Oryctolagus cuniculus: one gene and its partners. The protein of the gene in region 5 binds, or shares a complex with, the protein of the main gene of each other region. Links are inferred from orthologs where the notes say so. Each region holds a gene or a part of one and is shown on either strand. Other genes may lie near its edges.

The links.
Region 1: the proteins of ARRB1 (region 5) and AP2B1 are in contact, whole or in part, in a crystal structure (PDB 2IV8), measured with the Homo sapiens proteins. The link is inferred for Oryctolagus cuniculus from reciprocal best matches to the Homo sapiens genes ARRB1 and AP2B1. Residues at the interface, in NP_004032.2 of Homo sapiens: Asp384, Asp385, Val387, Phe388, Glu389, Phe391, Ala392, Arg393, Arg395, Leu396; in NP_001273.1 of Homo sapiens: Arg834, Gln835, Phe837, Leu838, Trp841, Lys842, Asn846, Glu849, Ile876, Ala877, Arg879, Val881, Glu882, Gln884, Tyr888, Glu902, Arg904.
Region 2: the proteins of ARRB1 (region 5) and GRM3 are in contact, whole or in part, in a cryo-EM structure (PDB 9II2), measured with the Homo sapiens proteins. The link is inferred for Oryctolagus cuniculus from reciprocal best matches to the Homo sapiens genes ARRB1 and GRM3. Residues at the interface, in NP_004032.2 of Homo sapiens: Gly5, Thr6, Arg7, Val8, Phe9, Lys10, Lys11, Ala12, Ser13, Pro14, Tyr21, Arg25, Arg65, Glu66, Asp67, Leu71, Gly72, Leu73, Thr74, Phe75, Arg76, Lys77, Arg103, Leu104, Lys107, Pro133, Arg236, Phe244, Asn245, Thr246; in NP_000831.2 of Homo sapiens: Pro605, Lys608, Ala609, Ile669, Phe670, Asp671, Gly672, Val673, Lys674, Asn675, Ala677, Gln678, Arg679, Lys681, Phe682, Ser684, Cys761, Pro762, Glu763, Phe765, Val834, Val835, Thr836, His837, Gln855, Ser856, Ser857, Ala858, Ser859, Thr860.
Region 3: the proteins of ARRB1 (region 5) and NTSR1 are in contact, whole or in part, in a cryo-EM structure (PDB 6UP7), measured with the Homo sapiens proteins. The link is inferred for Oryctolagus cuniculus from reciprocal best matches to the Homo sapiens genes ARRB1 and NTSR1. Residues at the interface, in NP_004032.2 of Homo sapiens: Tyr63, Arg65, Asp67, Leu68, Val70, Leu71, Gly72, Leu73, Thr74, Phe75, Arg76, Lys77, Asn245, Thr246, Ala247, Gln248, Tyr249, Lys250, Lys284, Arg285, Gly286; in NP_002522.2 of Homo sapiens: Ser93, Leu94, Gln95, Ser96, Leu97, Gln98, Thr100, Val101, Arg166, Ile170, Pro173, Lys177, Phe286, Ser287, Met288, Ala289, Ile290, Ala297, Leu298, Gly301, Ser368, Asn370.
Region 4: the proteins of ARRB1 (region 5) and CLTC are in contact, whole or in part, in a crystal structure (PDB 3GC3), measured with the Bos taurus proteins. The link is inferred for Oryctolagus cuniculus from reciprocal best matches to the Homo sapiens genes ARRB1 and CLTC. Residues at the interface, in NP_776668.1 of Bos taurus: His30, Ile31, Asp32, Leu33, Val34, Glu35, Pro36, Pro96, Thr98, Arg99, Tyr173, Pro175, Lys355, Thr374, Asn375, Leu376, Ile377, Glu378, Leu379, Asp380; in NP_776448.1 of Bos taurus: His12, Leu13, Gln14, Gln16, Asn17, Leu18, Gly19, Val50, Asn56, Asp57, Pro58, Ser59, Asn60, Ile62, Arg63, Arg64, Pro65, Ile66, Ser67, Ala68, Lys78, Ile80, Leu82, Lys83, Ala84, Thr87, Gln89, Phe91, Asn92, Ile93.

The regions. Positions count from the first base shown.
Region 1 is NC_091448.1:38,975,174-38,978,686, forward strand, and holds part of AP2B1 (AP-2 complex subunit beta), read right to left. Parts: intron 1,038-3,513; coding exon 872-1,037; intron 1-871. UniProt on the Homo sapiens protein: Component of the adaptor protein complex 2 (AP-2). Adaptor protein complexes function in protein transport via transport vesicles in different membrane traffic pathways.
Region 2 is NC_091447.1:48,455,529-48,459,041, reverse strand, and holds part of GRM3 (metabotropic glutamate receptor 3), read left to right. Parts: coding exon 1-727; intron 728-3,513. UniProt on the Homo sapiens protein: G-protein coupled receptor for glutamate. Ligand binding causes a conformation change that triggers signaling via guanine nucleotide-binding proteins (G proteins) and modulates the activity of down-stream effectors.
Region 3 is NC_091442.1:835,762-839,903, forward strand, and holds the start of NTSR1 (neurotensin receptor type 1), read right to left. Parts: upstream 2,807-4,142; 5' UTR 2,465-2,806; coding exon 1,760-2,464; intron 1-1,759. UniProt on the Homo sapiens protein: G-protein coupled receptor for the tridecapeptide neurotensin (NTS). Signaling is effected via G proteins that activate a phosphatidylinositol-calcium second messenger system.
Region 4 is NC_091448.1:34,959,955-34,963,467, forward strand, and holds part of CLTC (clathrin heavy chain 1), read left to right. Parts: intron 1-1,999; coding exon 2,000-2,163; intron 2,164-3,513. UniProt on the Homo sapiens protein: Clathrin is the major protein of the polyhedral coat of coated pits and vesicles. Two different adapter protein complexes link the clathrin lattice either to the plasma membrane or to the trans-Golgi network.
Region 5 is NC_091432.1:66,411,139-66,414,651, reverse strand, and holds part of ARRB1 (beta-arrestin-1), read left to right. Parts: intron 1-1,020; coding exon 1,021-1,044; intron 1,045-2,460; coding exon 2,461-2,531; intron 2,532-3,143; coding exon 3,144-3,195; intron 3,196-3,349; coding exon of another isoform or gene 3,350-3,371; exon of another isoform or gene 3,372-3,513. UniProt on the Homo sapiens protein: Functions in regulating agonist-mediated G-protein coupled receptor (GPCR) signaling by mediating both receptor desensitization and resensitization processes.

The DNA of each region.
Region 1 (3,513 bases), on a different chromosome or scaffold from region 5:
TCATTAAAGTTTCAGAACCACTGGTCTAAATTTATTACACTAGAAATCAGTATACAAATGAAAAGGGTCATCCCTTTTGGATGAAAAATCAACATGCTACAGGTGGAGAAACCCTAATCTGAAAATCAAAAATCTGAAATGCTCCAAAATCCAAAACTTTTAAAGCACAGACATGACAACACAAGTGGAAAATTCCACACCCAACTTAAAGTGATGGGTTGCAGGGCCGGCGCCGCGGCTCAATAGGCTAATCCTCCACCTAGCGGCGCCGGCACACCAGGTTCTAGTCTTGGTCGGGGCGCCAGATTCTGTCCCGGTTGCCCCTCTTCCAGGCCAGCTCTCTGGGAAGGCAGTGGAGGATGGCCCAAGTGCTTGGGCCCTGCACCCCATGGGAGACCAGGAGGAGCACCTGGCTCCTGCCTTCGGATCAGCGTGGTGTGCTGGCCGCAGCGTGCCGGCCGCGGCGGCCATTGGAGGGTGAACCAACAGCAAAAGGAAGACCTTTCTCTCTGTCTCTCTCTCTACTGTCCACTCTGCCTGTCAAAAAAAAAAGTGATGGGTTGCAGTCAAAATGCATGCATGCTAAAAACATTCTATAAAAATACCTTTAGGCTATGTGTATAAGGTATATGAGACATAAATGAATTTTCTGTTTAGACTTGGATTTCATCCCCAAGATATTTATCTCATTATGTACATGGAAATACTTCAAAGTTTGAAAAAACTCAAAATATGAAATATTTCTTGGTTCTAAGCATTTGGGGTACAGGATGCTCAACCTGAGCATATACATAAATACATACACACTCAAATCTTTACTTTTTCTGAAGTCTTCCCACAGACACAGGACACAGGATGGCTGAAAGTTTACCTGGGTGCTCTCATCATGAAAACCCTCCAGGAAGCTCTCCAGTAACTCATCTGCATTGTCAATTCTCTCAGCATATTCTCCTACAATCCAGATCATAGCCGCTCGAGCATCTGGTTCATCCAGGGAGTCTAAGTTCTCACACAGAGTGGCGATGATACTTTCATACCTGAAGCAACAAGAGACTATGGTTACTGAGGACAAAACAAAGAACACATTTCAGAGTTAAAGTTAAAAGCAAACCATGAACAAGGGATCCTAAAACAAGCCACCAAACTAGAAAAGCTTTTATAGTTAAGAAAATATATAAGTATTAAGTCAGAAGATTATAATTAGCTTTCAATTTTTTTAAAAGATTTATTTTATTATATTTGAAAGGCAGAATTACAGATAGAGAGAGAGAGAGAGAGAGAGAGAGAGATTGATTGATTGATTTTCTGCTGGTTTGCTCCCCAAATGGCTCTAACAGCCAGGGTTGGGCCAGGCTGAAACCAGGAGTGAGGAGCTTCATCCAGGTCTCCCACATGAGTGTGGGGACCCAAGCACTTGAGACATCTTCTGCTGCTTCCCCAGGCATATTAGCAGGGAGTTGGATCAGAAGTGGAGCAGCCGGTACTCAAACTGGCACCCAAATGGGATGTCAGTATAGCAGGCAGTGGCTTAACCTGTTATACCACAATGCCAGCTGTTCAATTATGCTTTAAGACTTAACTCATAAACTTTTATTAAAACTCATCAGGTATTATTTCTCAAGGGAAAATAAACCTGTGGTTGTTAAGATACTACAACTACTTGGTATTCTAGTAATCTTTCTTACAACTAGATCGAGAATTTTCCTATTATTCCATTTGACTTCATTCTAGAGAGGAAGAGAAATCTTTACTTTTAGAAAAATGGAGTTAGAAAACAACAATTTTCAGATAATTTTGTCCCTTAATCCACTTACCTCTCCTTTAAAAAATTATTTATTTGAAAGGCAGAGTTGCAGAGAGAGAGGGAGAGACAGATCTTCCAATTGGCCACAACAGCCAGATCTGGACCAGGATGAAGCCCAGGAGCTTCTTCCAGGTCTCCCACAGGGGTACAGGGGCCCAACCACTTCGGCAATCTTTTGCTACTTTTCCAAGCAGTTAGCAGGGAGCTGGATCAGAAATTGAGCAGCCAGTACATGAATTGACACCCACAGGGGATGCTAGCATTGCCTAAACCTCCTATGCCACAATGCCCCTTATCTCTCCTTTTTATAACAGGTATGGTTATGTTCTTTCTTCTCGAAGCACAAACAAAAATATTTCTCCAAAGGAAGAAATAACTCAAAAATTTATTATTATTTTTATAGACATGTTAAAACCATCTATCTGGCTAACATGATTGTAAACATCAGAATGATACATATAATAAATTAGAAGCAAACAACTGAATAGTACACTTGTCTGCCCTACTTCCACTGATTAAACCAGACTCCTGATTGCTTTCTTAGAACTGTCATGACCCCTTAATAACAAAAACAAAATGCATTTGTCTTCTTATTTCATACTATGTAACTAATACAGCATCATACTTAATTAAGAAATTGAAAAACCCAATCCTCAGGGGGCCAGTGCTGTGGCTCAGTGGACTGGGCCTCTGCCTGCAGTGCCAACATCCCACATGGGTGCCAGTTCATGTGTTGGCTGCTCCTCTTTCAATCTGGCTCTCTGCTGTGGCCTGGGAAGGCAGTGGAGGATGGCCTAGGTGCTTGGGTCCCTGTGCTGGCGTGGAAGACCTGGAGTAGGCTCCTAGCTCCTGTCTTTAGATGATCCCAGCGCCGGTTGCTACAGCCATTTGGGGATGAGCCAGCGGATGGAGGACCTTTCTCTCTGTCTTTCCCTCTGTCTATTATTCTACCTTTCAAATAAACAAAATCTTAAAAAAAAAAAAAAAAAAAATCCTTCTCTTTTCTGGGAGAATGGCAAAAATATATGGTCTCTTCTTCAAAAACACCATTTCTAAAATTTTTAGAAATATATACAATGCTTAATACACCATTACTTTGCCAAAATATTTTTACTAATTCTTTTTTTAAAAGATTTATTAATTATTTTGAAAGGCAGAGTTACAAAGAGACAGAGGCAGAGAGAGAGAAAGAGAGATAGAAAGAGATGGGTCTTCTATCCACTGGTTTACTCCCCAAATGGCCACAATGGTCAGAGCTAGGCCAATCTGAAGCCAGGAGCCAGGAGCCTCCTCTGGGTCTCCCATGCAGGTGCAGGGGCTGAAGGACTTGGGTCATCTTCTACTGCTTTCCTAGGCCATAGCAGGGAGCAGGATTGGAAGTGGAGCAGCCAGGACTCAAACCAGCACCCATATGGGATGCCAGCACTGGGGGCAGCATTCTTACGGCTATACCACAGAGCCTGCCCTTCCACTAATTCTTGAGCATACCACCAAGCCAACTTACTACATTATCTTTAAGACTAATCAGGAGCTTCAGCAAAGCTATCTCTATTACTGTAAAAGCAAAATGAGATTTCATTGTTATTTCACTGTTTCAGATTCTTCAATTGCTTGCTTTCATCATCTAACCTAGGACACTAACATCCCATATCAGAGTGCCCTGGGTTTGAGCTTCAGCTCTACTCCAGATTCCAGCTTCCTGCTGCCGC
Region 2 (3,513 bases), on a different chromosome or scaffold from region 5:
GCCATGGCCGAGATCCTGCGCTTCTTCAACTGGACCTACGTGTCCACCGTGGCCTCGGAGGGTGACTACGGCGAGACGGGCATCGAGGCGTTCGAGCAGGAGGCGCGCGTGCGCAACATCTGCATCGCCACGGCGGAGAAGGTGGGGCGCTCCAACATCCGCAAGTCCTACGACAGCGTGGTCCGCGAGCTGCTGCTGAAGCCCAGCGCGCGCGTCGTGGTGCTCTTCATGCGCAGCGACGACTCGCGCGAGCTCATCGCCGCCGCCAGCCGCGCCAACGCCTCCTTCACCTGGGTGGCCAGCGACGGCTGGGGCGCGCAGGAGAGCATCGTCAAGGGCAGCGAGCACGTGGCCGACGGCGCCATCACGCTGGAGCTGGCCTCGCAGCCCGTGCGCCAGTTCGACCGCTACTTCCAGAGCCTCACGCCCTACAACAACCACCGCAACCCCTGGTTCCGGGACTTCTGGGAGCAGAAGTTCCAGTGCAGCCTGCAGAGCAAGCGCAGCCACAGGCGCACCTGCGACAAGCACCTGGCCATCGACAGCAGCAACTACGAGCAGGAATCCAAGATCATGTTCGTGGTGAACGCGGTGTACGCCATGGCCCACGCGCTGCACAAGATGCAGCGCACGCTGTGTCCCAACACCACCAAGCTGTGCGACGCCATGAAGATCCTGGACGGCAAGAAGCTGTACAAGGATTACCTCCTGAAAATCAACTTCACAGGTAAGGCCGGGGCTTCCGCGCGTGGGTGGTGTGACAGGTGGACCCAGACACAGGGGTCAGGCTGTCGAGCAGAATTTCCCAGACGCACTAGGAGGTTTCCCTGATGGTCTTGCTCTTTTTGTTTTGTTTTGTTTTCAAACCATCACGGCTTTTGCACTACAGGACACGGAAAGGGCCCCCCAGGCTGAGCTAATGGCTCCACCGTGGTGGCTGCTAGGTGGGGAGCATGCCACATTCGCTCTTCTTCCTGTTGTCAGCCACACAGTGGGATGTAAATGATGTGGGCATTTAATCATCTTCAGCGGGAACTGACCATTCTGCAAGAAGCGTGAACTTCCGGGCCTTTCTTGTGGGTTATTCGAGCAAAAGGATCTCATAACTTTCACAGTGAGTGAAAGAAAAAGAATTTTTTTTTTCTGAGCCTAATTAGAGGCCAAAACGGAAACAATAACCTACACCATGGCGACCTCCAGGCCCTGGAGCTTATGTCTTCTGCTATATAAAACACTTCGCTGCAGTTTTAAGAACTGTGGGTTTTCTCCAATTATGTTATAAAATGAAAATGTTTTTCTGTGAGCCTGAGTATAAGCAAATTGGAGACGGATTTGATCAGTGGAGAACATGCACAGGTGTATTCAAAGTGATTATTGCTGCCTCTTCATTGTGGTCTAAAACTCTGTCTAAATACAGTACTTCATTTTAATGCATCTCTAACACACACACACACACACACACACACACACACACAGTATCTTCAGGTTTGCATTGTCTACTAAGGTACATGTGATATCAGTTCATTAAGGTCCTGGTTCTGGAGAGTCTGGATTAATCCTCCAAAATAAAGTGGTAAGTAGCACTATTGGGCACATTAAGATTTAGATTCTGAGAATGTTACAATAAAAATTATTTCATTTGTGTAAACTGCTGGTCATGCTCCATGCCACCGGGACCTCATTCTAGTCTGAGTCTGTTTCAAGTTGTCATGGAAGACCTGAGAGTTTGTGAGCCTACGTGGCAGTTCTCACCTCCTCTTATAGGTGATCCCACGGGCACCACTTGTTCCACAGAATCACCAGTGGTACTGAGGTAGGGTCCCATGGCCATCGACTCCTGTTCCAGAATTCTCACCCCCTGAAAATAAGCACAGAAACTACCAGCATGCATTTTCGTTTATCATTTTTTTCTTCTTTGTCTCTAGAGAGGACCAAAGGTAGTAGAAATCAATTATGTTCCCTCCTATTTATCTGATGGGTACCACCTTTTCCATTAGAATGATGACTGAAAATGGTAAAGATTAAACTCTTTTTCTGCTCATATTCCTAAAGGTGTGCTTCATGTAAAAAAAAATGAAAAGAGCAGTTTCTTAGCATTCCTCTCAGAATCCCAGATCAGTTCCCTGCTGACATCTCCAGAAAATAAGAATGGACTCTAGAGTCCATTAAAAAAGGCTATCTTTACTCTAAAAATAAATGAACTCTCAGGCATCCATAAATAGCATCTATAGTGCAATTAATTCTGCAAGATGAATAAAACACTTCAGCCTGTACCCTCCCCTCCCCTGTCAGACCACCCTTGGAGTTATCATTTATCTTTATTCACCACATGCATTAATTAACTTTGTTATTCTGATTCATTCCTCACTCCTTAGCATGCAGATATCCAAACACATCCACTCATCAACAGCCAAACAGTTCCAGAGAGCCCCTACGAGGTGTTTATACAACCAAAACCTTTGCCCATGTCTGACTGCTTGAGTTTTAAAAGGCAAGGAAAAGTGAGGAAATAATGCTGCGATCCAGATAAATAAACAAAAGCCTCTTCTTTGTGTCTGTCCTTTGCAATTCCTGGCTTCAATTCCACAGCTCAGTTTGTCTACACAGCCCCGACTACAGGGTACAATTTTAACTTTCTCAATTTGTCAGGTATTACCAGTTCTTCTGCATTTCTGAAATGAGCAGGATGGCAAAAAGCAGGTTTAAGCCACGGAAAAGAGAGGGTATTTAGACCAGCCACAAGGTGCATATGCTTGGTAATGAGGATTAGACAAGAAAATGCATTATTATGAGAGGATACTAAGAAGCAAATTAGCAAACTAGTACATCAGAAATGAAACTAAGAACAAATTATAAGAATCTAAAACTTGGCTAAGAGGAACACACACAGAATAGAACAGAATATAGATTATGGGATGCTGGTTTGGATTTACAGTAACCTGTATGTGACTGACTACATTTATGTCTCTGTTTTAACTTGGAAATAGAGCAAAGATTATCAGTATGCATTCCATGTTACTGCTTTAAGACTGAAAAGTATTAAGGATTTTCTTCCTAGTTAGCTATTGCAAGCAGGTTTGTTTTATTTTTTCTGAAATAGTATCTCTGTTTTTCGAACTTGAATATTCAGGCAATGGACTAGACACAAGGGTCTACACTTAGCAAACACTAAACAATCAGCTTAGTTGGGTTGAAAAAATTCTCTTCCAGCCAGCTGCTTATATCAAATGGATTTACTCCAAGATTATTCTCTAAAGGGAAAGCGGTAGCCAATTCCCTAATACCTCTAGTCCTTACAGGATGAAAGAGCAAGGCCTTCTGAGAATTTAAATTGTGTCCATTAAAAAGATTTCCCTGGTGTTTTGTGAATTCCTACCAGCTAGTTCCAGCATTCGCCAATAGGAGTCTTGTTTGAAGCTAACCCAGTTTGAATACTCATTTTGTACGATTTTTCAGAACTGTGCTTTGTGAAAATTATTTCTAAGCGGTGAGCTCTTCTGGCGTTGGATTTAC
Region 3 (4,142 bases), on a different chromosome or scaffold from region 5:
CACGGCTCCTGCTTCCCACAGGGGAAGGCATGCGGCAGCCGTCGCCCGAGCCAACTGCACTCAGCCCTGGCGAGGACCCCGGGGCAGGAGCCGTCCGGGGGGACATGCCGGGCCCTCCAGCTGCTCGCCGGCTCCACCTGCACGGATCGGGGCTCACCCTGCCTGCAGTGAGGGGCCACACCCAGCGGGGGCGCCTCTCAGAACAAAAGGGAGAGGCAGGGCGGCCGGGCCGCTCAGGGCCGGAACAGCAAAGACCGCTGGCGGCTGGTGGCAGACTCGGGCGGGGACGCCCAGCCTAGCACCCCTGCTCTCCGGGAACCTCCCCGCGTGCAAATGGCCCCGCCGGCCTTGGGGCAGTGAGCTGGAGGCCCCAGGCTGCCCGGGGGCTGACAACGGCACCCAGGGCACGGGTAGGGGTAGTGGGTAGTCGAGGTCCAGCTGTGGCCTTGGGAGCACAGACACCTTGGCGTGGTTGAAGGAAAGGGTGAGGTGTGGACAGAAGACCCCGTCACTCACGTGTACACGTGGGCACATGCGTGGACAGTCCTCCAGGCCTCCAAGCCTGGCTCCTGCTCAGGCACTCAGTGACCAGGTAAACGGGGCCCATACAGGGTCAGTGAGCGTCCAAGGGCTGGGCTGGAGCCTGGGCGGCACCCGCCGAGCCCCTGAGGGCAGAGCTGGTGGCCGTGCCGGGCCAGCCCCCGCCTCAGTCGGACGTGAGCCAGACGCTCCCCCACCCGGGCCTCTGCTCTCTGCCACCTGCTGCACTCCTTCAGGCCACTGACCACCCGGGCCCTAAGCCACACAGCGCCCGGGACACCTGAGCTCTGCAGGGGCTCATGCAGGCAGCGCCCCCTGTGGGCCGGCCGAAGGAAAGACGGGACATCCCGCCGGAAGCCATGGGCACCCCACGTGTCCTCCGCCACCCAGTTCCTAGTGGCACCGGGGCCAGAGCTGGGCCTCTGAGAGGCTGCCTGCCCTCTGAACTGCCCAGCCCCACACGGGGCCACACACTGAGACCTGCCGCGCTGTACGGAGGCCAGTGAGCCCCCACCTCCAGGCTGCAAGACCCCACCCCCCCACACACATCCAGGTGCCTTACCATCGTCCCAACAGGGACATCACCGCTGCCGTCGGCAGCGACGGCAGCACCAGCAGGTGTTTCTGTGTGCCAGGCACCTGCAGACACGTCCCACGAGTTCTCGTGAGCACTACCACCTAGGGTGAATGCTGCCATCATCCCATTTTACAGATAGGAAAACTGAGGCTGGAGTAAGACCCAACCCAAGAAGATGTCAGGCTCAGCTCTGACTCAAGTCTGGGCTGGGCAGGGCAGCCAGGGGACGCGGAGGAAGCCGGCCTGGGGGTGCCGCTGCTGGGGGGGGGCTGCAGAGCCCCTGCCAGGGCACAAGGCCTTTGAGAAGCTGCTGGACGAGACCACGGCCTTATATGGCCCCAGGGACTGCTTCAGGGCCACCCGAGGCCCACCCATGAGTCCAGGGCGGACACTGACCAAGTCCAGCCACCCTCGGTAGAGCTGATGGGGTGGGGATGGGGAGCGGGGCCGAGGCCCGGCTGCTCCGCGGGGCGAGGTGGGGAGAGGGCTCGGGCTGCTCCCCAGGCGGCCCGTCCTCGCCAGCCTCCAGGGAGTGGACTTCCGCAGCCCCCTCGCGGCTGGAAGACCCCTGGGGGCAGAGTCCAGGCTTCCCCCGGAGAGACCCCCGCCTGGAGCCCCCCCCCCCCCGCACAGGCTGCTCACCTGGATGACGACCTTGACGGTGGCGGTGTCCACGATGGGGGTGCACACCAGGCTGCCGGGGTGCTGGTGGTCAGCGCCCCGGTTCTGCTGGCCCATGGTGAACAGCATGGGCACGGCCAGCAGCGCCGAGGCCAGCCAGATGGCGCTGATGAACTTCTTGGTGCGGCTGCGGGACATGAGGGTCTTGGCCTTGAAGGGGTGGCACATGGCCAGGTAGCGCTCGACGCTGAGGCTGGCCACGTTGAGGGCCGTGGCGTAGGTGCAGGCATCGCGCAGGAAGTAGTAGCCCCGGCAGCCGGCGTCGCCGAAGGCCCAGGGGTGGTGCACCCAGATGAAGTTGTACAGCTCCACGGGCATGGCCAGCAGCAGGATGAGCAGGTCGGACAGCGCCAGGCTGCCCAGGTGGTAGTGCACGGTGCTCTGCAGGCTCTGCAGCGGCTTCCGGCGCGCCAGCGTGAACGCCGTCACGGCGTTGCCCACCGTGCCCACCGCGAACAGCGCCAGGTACACGACCGTCACCAGCACCTTGGAGTAGATGTCGGTGTTCACGTCCAGGGGGCTGCCCGGCGCCGCCAGCGCGAGCTCCGACGCGTTGGCCGAGCGGTTGCCCGAGCCCGGGGCCAGGAGCGCGGCGTCCAGCCCCACCTGCGGACGCGGGAAGAGGTCGGCGCCCGCAGCGCTCGGCGCGGAGCTGTTGAGACGCATGGTGCGCGCCGGGTCCGCGGCTCTGTCCCGCGCCCCTGGGCTGGAAGTCCAGGCGGGGAGGGATGAGAAGGAGCCCTGGCGGGGGGCGCGGGAGGCCGGCTAGCGGGGTGCCGTCTGGCCAGGAAGCGCCGCCCCGAGGAACTCGGCTCACGCCCACCCGGGCTCCGGGCTGCGCCCCCGGCTCTAGACCCCACGATTCTCCACGCTCCCTCTGGGCTCTGCGCTGGTCCTGGGCTCGGGCTTCGCGGACAAGCAGGTGGCGCCGAGCAGAGCGCACGCACGGCTGCCCGGCGCGCTCGCCTCTCCCGCTCCCGCTCTCCTCCCTCGCGCCCCGCCGCGCCCGCGCCCTCTCGGCTCTGCGCGCTTCCACCGAGCCGGCGCCGCGCGGCCGCGCCTAGCAGCGTGGGCGGGGGCGAGAGGCGGCCCCAGCCGCGGTCCCCGCCCCGCCCCAGCGCAGGCTGGTGGTCGCCGCCTCCCCCACCCCGCCCCCCGCCGCGCACTCTTAGAGGCCGTCAGGGCCCTCGAGAGCGACCCCGGGAACCCAGGTCAGGCGTGGGGGCTGCAGCTGGGCCTTGGGGCGCTGAGTCTGCCCAGCGCCCTCCCCCTGGGTGCACAGCCTCCCTTCCCGGGTCTCTCCAACTTCTAGCACTGGAAAGGGAGCTGTGCCCTCCTGTCTCCAGCTCAGCGAGGGCGGAGGAAGGAGACGGCTTCCCGCTGGCGCGCATGGGGCGCTACGCAGCTGGCGGCCGCCCCTCTCCTGGTGCCCACGGTGGAGGAGGGGCAGAAGCTGAGCGCCTAGGGGGCTCCAGTGCCACTAAGCCGGGGTGGGGTGGGGGAGGGGAAGCAGAAGCAAGCAGGCGTGGGGATGGGGCACCCTCAGGGCCGGGTCCCGCGGGGTTGGCAGGGGCAGCCTGACTTGGAGGTGGTGCTGGCTCTGCCGCGGCCCTCGGGCTCCGTGTCCTGCCAGCCGCTGGCCCGAGGGGGCCGGGTGTGCGCCTGCTCCCCGGCCGTGAGCTGCGCAGAGGCACAGCCGCCCTCCCCACAGCGGACCCTGGGAGACGCCCGCTGCAGGGGTGAGGGCAGGAGGAAGCGCCCAGGGGTCACAGCCCCAGACGCTGCACCGGCTGTGCTGGGGTCAGTCTGGCTGCAGGGGAGGGGGCCAGGGGCTGACAGCCATCTTGTTGTCTTCCGCCTGCCTTGGGCTTGCCTTTCACCTGGACCCCGGCGGCCTCATCAGGGAGTCTTAGCACACAGCAACGAATGCTTGAAAACGTAGCCTTCAAAGGAAGCACAAACGGCCCTTTTGCTAAACGCCGGCGCAGACTCCAGAGGCTGGCAGAGGTGGTTTGCATCTTGGCCCTGCGGCCCTGGCCTGGGGAGTGTTTGAGCTTCTCTGTGCCCCGTCGTCAGCTGTGGGGTGGGAGAAGCCGAGAGCGGTGCTCCCCCGGCAGGGCTGCTCTCCGGGGGCCTCGGGGAGTGGGCAGCACTGAAGGGGCCGAGCTCAGCCTTGGGAGGGAGGGCGCGCCTCGAGTCCCACAAGCTGCCCCCAGGTCCCCGCCAGGGTACCCTGGACTCGCTGTCCGGGAGACACAGGAAGTGAGCAGGCCTGGGACTGGGCCCCGCGTGTCCTTGACCCGGGACGTGGTGGTGCTGAACGGAGCCCACTACCACTGCTCAC
Region 4 (3,513 bases), on a different chromosome or scaffold from region 5:
TGAATTAAAGGCGGAGTTTTAAGAGAAAAGTATGTATAGTTTTATCATAGTTTTATAAGATCTGGAGACTAATGACCAGTTATAATGTTTCATATAGGCTTTTATAATGACAAATAATTCTACCCAAGAACATTTTGTGACTTTTCACTTTATAGTAGGGGTTCTCAGTCTTTGTACTGTTGACATTGGGAGCTGAATCATAGTTGCATGCAGGTTGTTGTGTGCAAGTAGGATATTTAGCAGCTTCATTGGCTTCTAACCAGTAGCATCAGTTAAACCAGCTGTGACAGCCAAAAATGTCTCCAGACATTTCTAAATGTCACCTGGGAGGAAAGTTACCTTAATTGATAACCACTGATGTGCAGAGTACTAGTGGAATCACCATTGGGTGACTCCTTAGATTCACCTAAATTCTGATCCCTGGTTTTTCTTTTCTTTTCTTTTCTTTGTTGTTGTTGTTGTTATAATAGTAGTAGTACTCCTCTAGACAGAAGAAAGGATTCTATATTCACTTTCTTAATTTTCACAGTTACTGAATGTGCACTGCACACTAAATTTACACTGTAGTATGATAGCCACTAGGCACATGGAGCTATTTAAATGTAATTTAATTACATTAAATAAAGTTTAAAATTTCTTCACTCTCTCTTGCCATGTTTGAATTGCCTAAAAACCACATGTATTAGTGGCTACCATATTGGACACCACAGAGAACATTTTTATCATGCAGAAAGCTTTAATTTTTTTTTAATAACTTGAAAAGCAGAGTTGTGCAGAGGCAGAGAGAGAAAGGACTTCCTTCTGCTGGTTTATTCCCCAAATGGCTGCAATGGCAGGAGCTAGACCTCTATGAAGCCAGGAGCCAGAAGCTTCTTCCGGGTCTCCCAAGAGGGTGCAGAGGCCCAAAGACTTGGGCCATCTTCTTCTGCTTTCCCAGACCATAGCAGAGAGCTGGATCAGAGGTAGAACACTGGAACTTGAACCGGCACCCATACGGGATGGTGGCACTGCAGGCAGCATCTTTACTCATTATTCCGCAGTGCTGACCCCATAAAGCTTTATTGAAAAGCACTTGATTAAATTCTTTCCAGATTATTTTTGTATATTTCCTATTAACTGTACATGGATAAGTATCTGATAATAGGGGACTTTATTTAAAATTTCTCATATAAAATATTATGTAATAATTAACTTCCCCTATTTCTAAATTCTGTACTTTATTGGAGTAATCACTTAATTGGACTGGATTAATTATTCCTGAGTTGTTGTTGTTTTTTTAACATATCCTTTATTTATTTAAGAGGTAGAGTTACAGACAGAGGGAGAGACAGAGAGAAAGGTCTTCCATCTGCTATTTCACTTCCAAAGTGGCCACAGTTGCCAGAGCTGAGCCAGTCTGACTCCAGGAGCTTCTTTTAGGTCTCCCACGCAGATGCAGGGGCCTGCACTGGAGCCATCTTCCACTGCTTTCCCAGGCCATAAGCAGAGAGCTGGATTGGGAGAGGAGCATCTGAGACTTGAACCAGCGCCCATATGGGAAGCTGGCACCACAGGCGGAGGCTTGGGTTACTATGCCCAACAACGTCCCCTGAGTTTTTTTGGGTTAAAGATTTATCTGTTTGTTTGAAAGGCAGTTAGAGGAATTTAGGGGGAGAGAAGGAGGGAGAAGTGGCAGGGAGAGAGATTTTCAATTAGCTGGTTCATTCCCCAAATGGCCGCAACAACCATGGCTGGGCCTCACTGAAGCATTGGGGAACTGGATGGGCAGTAGTGCAGCTGAGACTTGAACCAGCACCCATTTGGCATGCAAGCATCACAGGTGGTGGCCCAACCCACTATGCCACAATGCCAGCTCCCTTATCGAACACTTTCAGCAACTGATTCATACCAGTATCTGGGACTGTTAAGTGAAACAGTTTGTTTTTAATTGCTTGGATATTTTTCAGTTCTGTTTTCAACAATACACCTATATTTAATTTCAATTATTTATTTCTTTAAGGTCTCTTTTATTTTCTGGGATCCATTGTTAACTTTAGCCAGGACCCAGATGTACACTTTAAGTATATTCAGGCAGCTTGCAAGACTGGGCAAATCAAAGAAGTAGAAAGAATCTGCAGAGAAAGCAACTGCTATGATCCTGAGCGAGTCAAAAATTTTCTCAAGGTAAGTAACTGTTTTTGAGTAATGCATTTTCTGGTTGGATTGAAGAGCAGCAGTTCTGTAGGAGTTCAGTTACAGTTTTAAAATATACTTTTTCTCCATGAGATTTTTTAGCCTGCTCAAATTGTGTGTGGGATTATTTCTTCTAAACTTAATACTCTGTGGTTTCCTTTGAAATAGAGAAGGAAATTGGTAAGTAATACTTACAAATGACCATCTGGTTAAAAGAAGAAAAATATAGCACCAGTTCAAAGAAACTTTCCAAAGTTATTTATCTTTGTTGTCATTTTAGAATATCATTTAGGCTTTCTTTTGAATATTAAGTGATCCTCTATCATTTTGAGGATCTTTTCTTGTAGGCATAGGGGTCTGTTGGCTAAAGGATATGGGTTTATCTCTGTCATCAAATCTACCTAACTGTAGAAGCTAAAGTATTAATCCTATATAATTTATAAAGTAAAGGTGAAACCAGATAAGCTCAACTTTGTGAATCATGAATTGTTACAGAGAATTAAGCACTGCCTGTGTTGGGTGAGTGCAGAGCGATGGTTTAATGATTGTTAACTCTAAAATATACCTGTGGGAAGTTAATTTTGTTTAATGTTTAACTTTTAGCTTTATGTTCATACTTACCAGTTACTATGTGAAGAAAATAAAGCTTTAAACTTGGCAACTGTCTGTAAAAGACCAGGGAAACTAATATAACACTCCAGTCACCACCCTCCCCCTGCCATATATATGTAGATAACACACTCTCCGTCCCCCCTCCCCCTCCCTCTCTTTCTCCCTCTCTCTCTCTCTCTCTCTATATATATATATATAAAGTGATATATATATATATATAATGTATATATACATACATGATTCCAGAGACTGTATGTAAAGTTCCAATTTGTTTTTGCTTTTTGCCTTCTGGAATAATTGATTGGAAAAAAAAAAACAAATTTTTTTTTTTTTAAAGATTTATTTATTTATTTGAACGAGTTACAGAGAAGGAGAGGCAGAGGGAAAGAGGAATATTGATCTTCTTTCCACTGATTCACTCCCCAAATGGCTGCAGCGGCCCAGGGCTGGGCCAGGACAAAGCCAGGAACCAGGAACTTCTTCCAGGTCTCCTACGTGGGTGCAGGAGCCCACGGAGTTGGGCCGTCCTCCACTGCTTTCCCAGGCATGTTAGCAGGGAGTTGGATTGGAAGCGGAACAGCCAGGACTTGAGCTGGTGCCCATATGGCATGCTGGCACTGCAGGTGGTGGCTTTACCTGCTATGCCACAGCACTGACCCCCAAAATGTTTTCTTTATGATCTTTTTTATTTGAGAGAAAGAGAGGCAACCCATCTGCTTCTTCACTCTC
Region 5 (3,513 bases):
AGGGTGCGGCCTGGGTGTCGGGGTCACAGCCGGGGACCAGGTGCTTCCTTGCCCCGAGCAGAGTTCGTCAGTGGGGACTCAGAGCAGCCCTCCCCTCTCCCCACGTCCTGGACGGACGTGTTATACACCGGAACCGGGATTTCTCACGGGTCAGAGAACTTGTTCTGACTTAGTTTAGGAGTGTCTGTAGCGAGGTTGAACAGCCGTGTAGGGGCAGGTGTGCAGCGGGTTGAGGATGCCCGTGCCACAGCACCTGCGTTTGAGGCCTGGCGCTGGTTTCCTGCTGATGGGGACCCTGGGAGGCGGCGGTGTGGCTCAGAGAGCTGGCTTCCTGCCACTCACACAGGCAGCCTGGATTGGGTTCCTGGCTCCTGGCTTCGGCTGCCCTCGCTGTTGCAGTTCAGTGGGGAGCGAACCAGCGGATGGGAGTTTTCTCTGTGTCTCTGCCTCCCGGATAAATGAATAAAAGCTTAAAAGAGAAAAGAAAAGCTAAATCCATTAGACATGGCGTCTCCTGTGCAGTGCTCCTGGTGAACCACAGGCAGGGCAGGCAGCACTGGAGTGGGTTTTTTTTTTTTTTGCAGGGGGAGGGAGGAGATCTTCCACCCCCTGTTCACTCTCCAAATGGCATCAACAGCCAGCTCTGGGCCAGGCTGAAGCCAGGAGCCTGGAACTCTATCCGGTCTCCCACATTACTTGGGCCATCACCTGCTGCCTCCCAGGCGTGTTAGCACGGAGCTGGGCGGGACTCAGACCTGTGCCTCCGGTGTGGGATGTCGCATCGCAGGCAGCGGCTTGGCGCCCTGTGCCACCGTGGCGGCCCCGGAGCTCACGTGTGCACCTGCTTTCCGAAGGAAAGGGCCTGCTGAGCTTGGCAGTGCGCCCCCAGGGGAGGGGGGCGTGTATGTCCCAGGGTCTGCTCTGTCTGAGGGGCAGCAGAGGTGGTGAATGAATGTGCTTTCTGTTTTTTCCTCTCTCAACTCTCCTGACCACTCCTCCTGCCTCCTCTGACCCACCCAGCCTGCTGGGAGATCTTGCGTCCAGGTAATGTCCCTCGCTTTGGCCTGGTTGATTACCTTCCTGCAGGGCCCAGATACCCCATGGAGCAGGGGCATGGGGCGCTGGGTTGGAAGGACCCTTAGTGGCCGTTTCAGATGGCCAAGGTCAGGTGCGTGCTGATGCCAGAATGCTCTCGAGAAAGACACAGTATCTACTCAGGAAGCTGCGCCCTGCTAGTCCTCAGCTCTCGCCAGCAGCAAATCACTGAATTCCCGAGCTACTGGATTACAGGGTATTTAGAAGTGCAGGCTTTGTGACTTCCCGACTTGCCCGCTGGTGAGCCAAGGAGAGGCCCTTCGGGGAGCCACATTTGTGCATGAGATGGCCTGGGTGCCAGCCGGATAGACCCACCCTCCTAAGATGCACGCCCTGGCTTCTCCCTGGCCAAGCATCCCTGGCCAAGCATCCCAAGAATACTTAGTCCAGTGTGAGAGGAAAGTCATTCAGCTCTGTTCGGTTGAGTTCAGCAGAGGTTTCCGGACCCCAGTGCTGTGCCAGTGAGTGGCGGGGCTGGCGGGATCCACTCTCAGCTCAGCCTACGCCCCTGACTGCTCCACTCCCCAGCCGGACCCTGGAGGTGCCCATGGGTCAGGGTCGGGATGGAGATCCCAGGGTGAAGGGTGTTGCTCCAAGATGGCTTCAGGCCGCTGCTGTCACACAGTGCTGAAGGGTGTGGCCCTGGAGCCAGAATCCTCTGTCACTCCCCATGAATAGCTGTGTAGCCTTGGGCAGGATGCTTTCATCTCCTTGTGCCTCAGTTTCTCCACCCATACATTGGGGGCAATGATACAGTTGTTGTGAGGATTCAACGAGTTGCTTTATGGAAAGTGCCCAGGAGAGTCCTTGGCCGAGTCAGTGCCGTGGAAATCTCTGCCCTCCCTGTCCTGCCCCGCAGGGACCCGGCAGAGAAGGTCAAGTCCAAAGCCCTGGCCGGTGGCTGATGCCTCCCATTCACCACAAACCTGTGTGGACAGCCTTGGGCCCTGGGTCCCAGCTGACCCGACACTGGTAAAATGTACCTCTAGCCGTGCCTCCTGCAGGTGGCAGGTATCCAGGGTCAGCTGGGCACTGTTTTAGGTGCTGGGAGGGGTGGGCACACTCCCAGCCAGGAGTTGGGAAGGGCCGAGGTGGCTGTGGCCGTCTGAGATGGGCGGGGCTCAGGGCACCTGCAGGGCCCCCAGTGGCCATGGTGTGCACTGGCCTGGGCAGTCGTGCCCCCGTGTCCGGGGGCCCTGATCCAGGAAGGGGAAGTTCTGTTTCCATCAGGGACAGGGGAGGAGGTCTCCTACATTCCTCCCCTAGAAAGATCTCCATCTTGGAGAGTGCAGAGTGAGGGCCAGAGAGCCCTCCGCAGCCCTCCCGCTGAGGCCTGGGCTCAGCAGGCCTGGCTCTCTGTTTCAGTGACGTGGCCGTGGAGCTGCCCTTCACCCTGATGCACCCCAAGCCCAAAGAGGAGCCCCCACATCGGGAAGGTGAGCAGGACTGGGAGGGTCCTTGCCGTGAGGGTTTCAGGGGGCCCACTCCCTCCTCCCCTGCCTGCCGCACCTCTCCCTCCAGGTCAGCCTCAGCCTGGTGCACCCTCTCCCCAGCTCCCCAGGATCTCCCGTGGGTCCCACAACTCCCGTCTGCCGTGGGCCCCAGTGGGACACAGCTGGCCCTCACTGTCTTCTCCGTGGGGGAGCAAGGCCTGGGCTGGGTCCTGTGCGCACTAGGGGGAAGGGCTGCGTGGACGAGAGCCCCCCCACCCCCAGCATACCATTCCTGGAGGCGCCCGATTGTTCATTGATATTAACTCCATTTTGAAACACAGCTCAAGTTCAGCGAGGTCAGAGTTAGTGGGAGGTTCGCATGCTAGGCAGTGCACTGAAGTGAGCTGGAGCCAGTACCCCGAGGTTGCCCTGCTCCTGTGGCCACTCAGGGCCCTTCCATGGCCTTAGATGATTGGCAGGCCCCCTTTTCCACGTTCCCCTTCTTCCCTGACCCTCCCCTACTGAGCCTGGCAGTCCCGGGGTGGAGGGCTGTGCCCACTCACCTCCATGTCTCCCCACGCACTAACCCCTGGGCGCCCCCTGCCCTGTGTTCAGTTCCAGAGAACGAGACGCCGGTAGATACCAATCTCATAGAACTTGACACAAAGTAAGCGGAACCCTGCCTGCTGGGGTCTGGGGGGTTGCGGGGCAGGGCGGGGCCGGGGGGGGGCGGAGAGGTCATTTGCATATACGCTTATTAACCCTGAGGAGCAGGTGGTCTAACCCCATCAGCTGAGAGCCGCCTCTGCTCGCCTCCTCAGCAACCCGCTTGCCTGCATGTGACTTGAAGGACCCTCGTGCCTGTTCCTCTTCCTCCTGCCTTGGTGGGGTTTGTCTTCCTTCCTTGTCCTTGCACGTCCGTCCACCCGTCCGTCCGTCCGTCCGTCCACAGCGCCTGCGCCTGCTCGTCTCACACAGGGCTGGC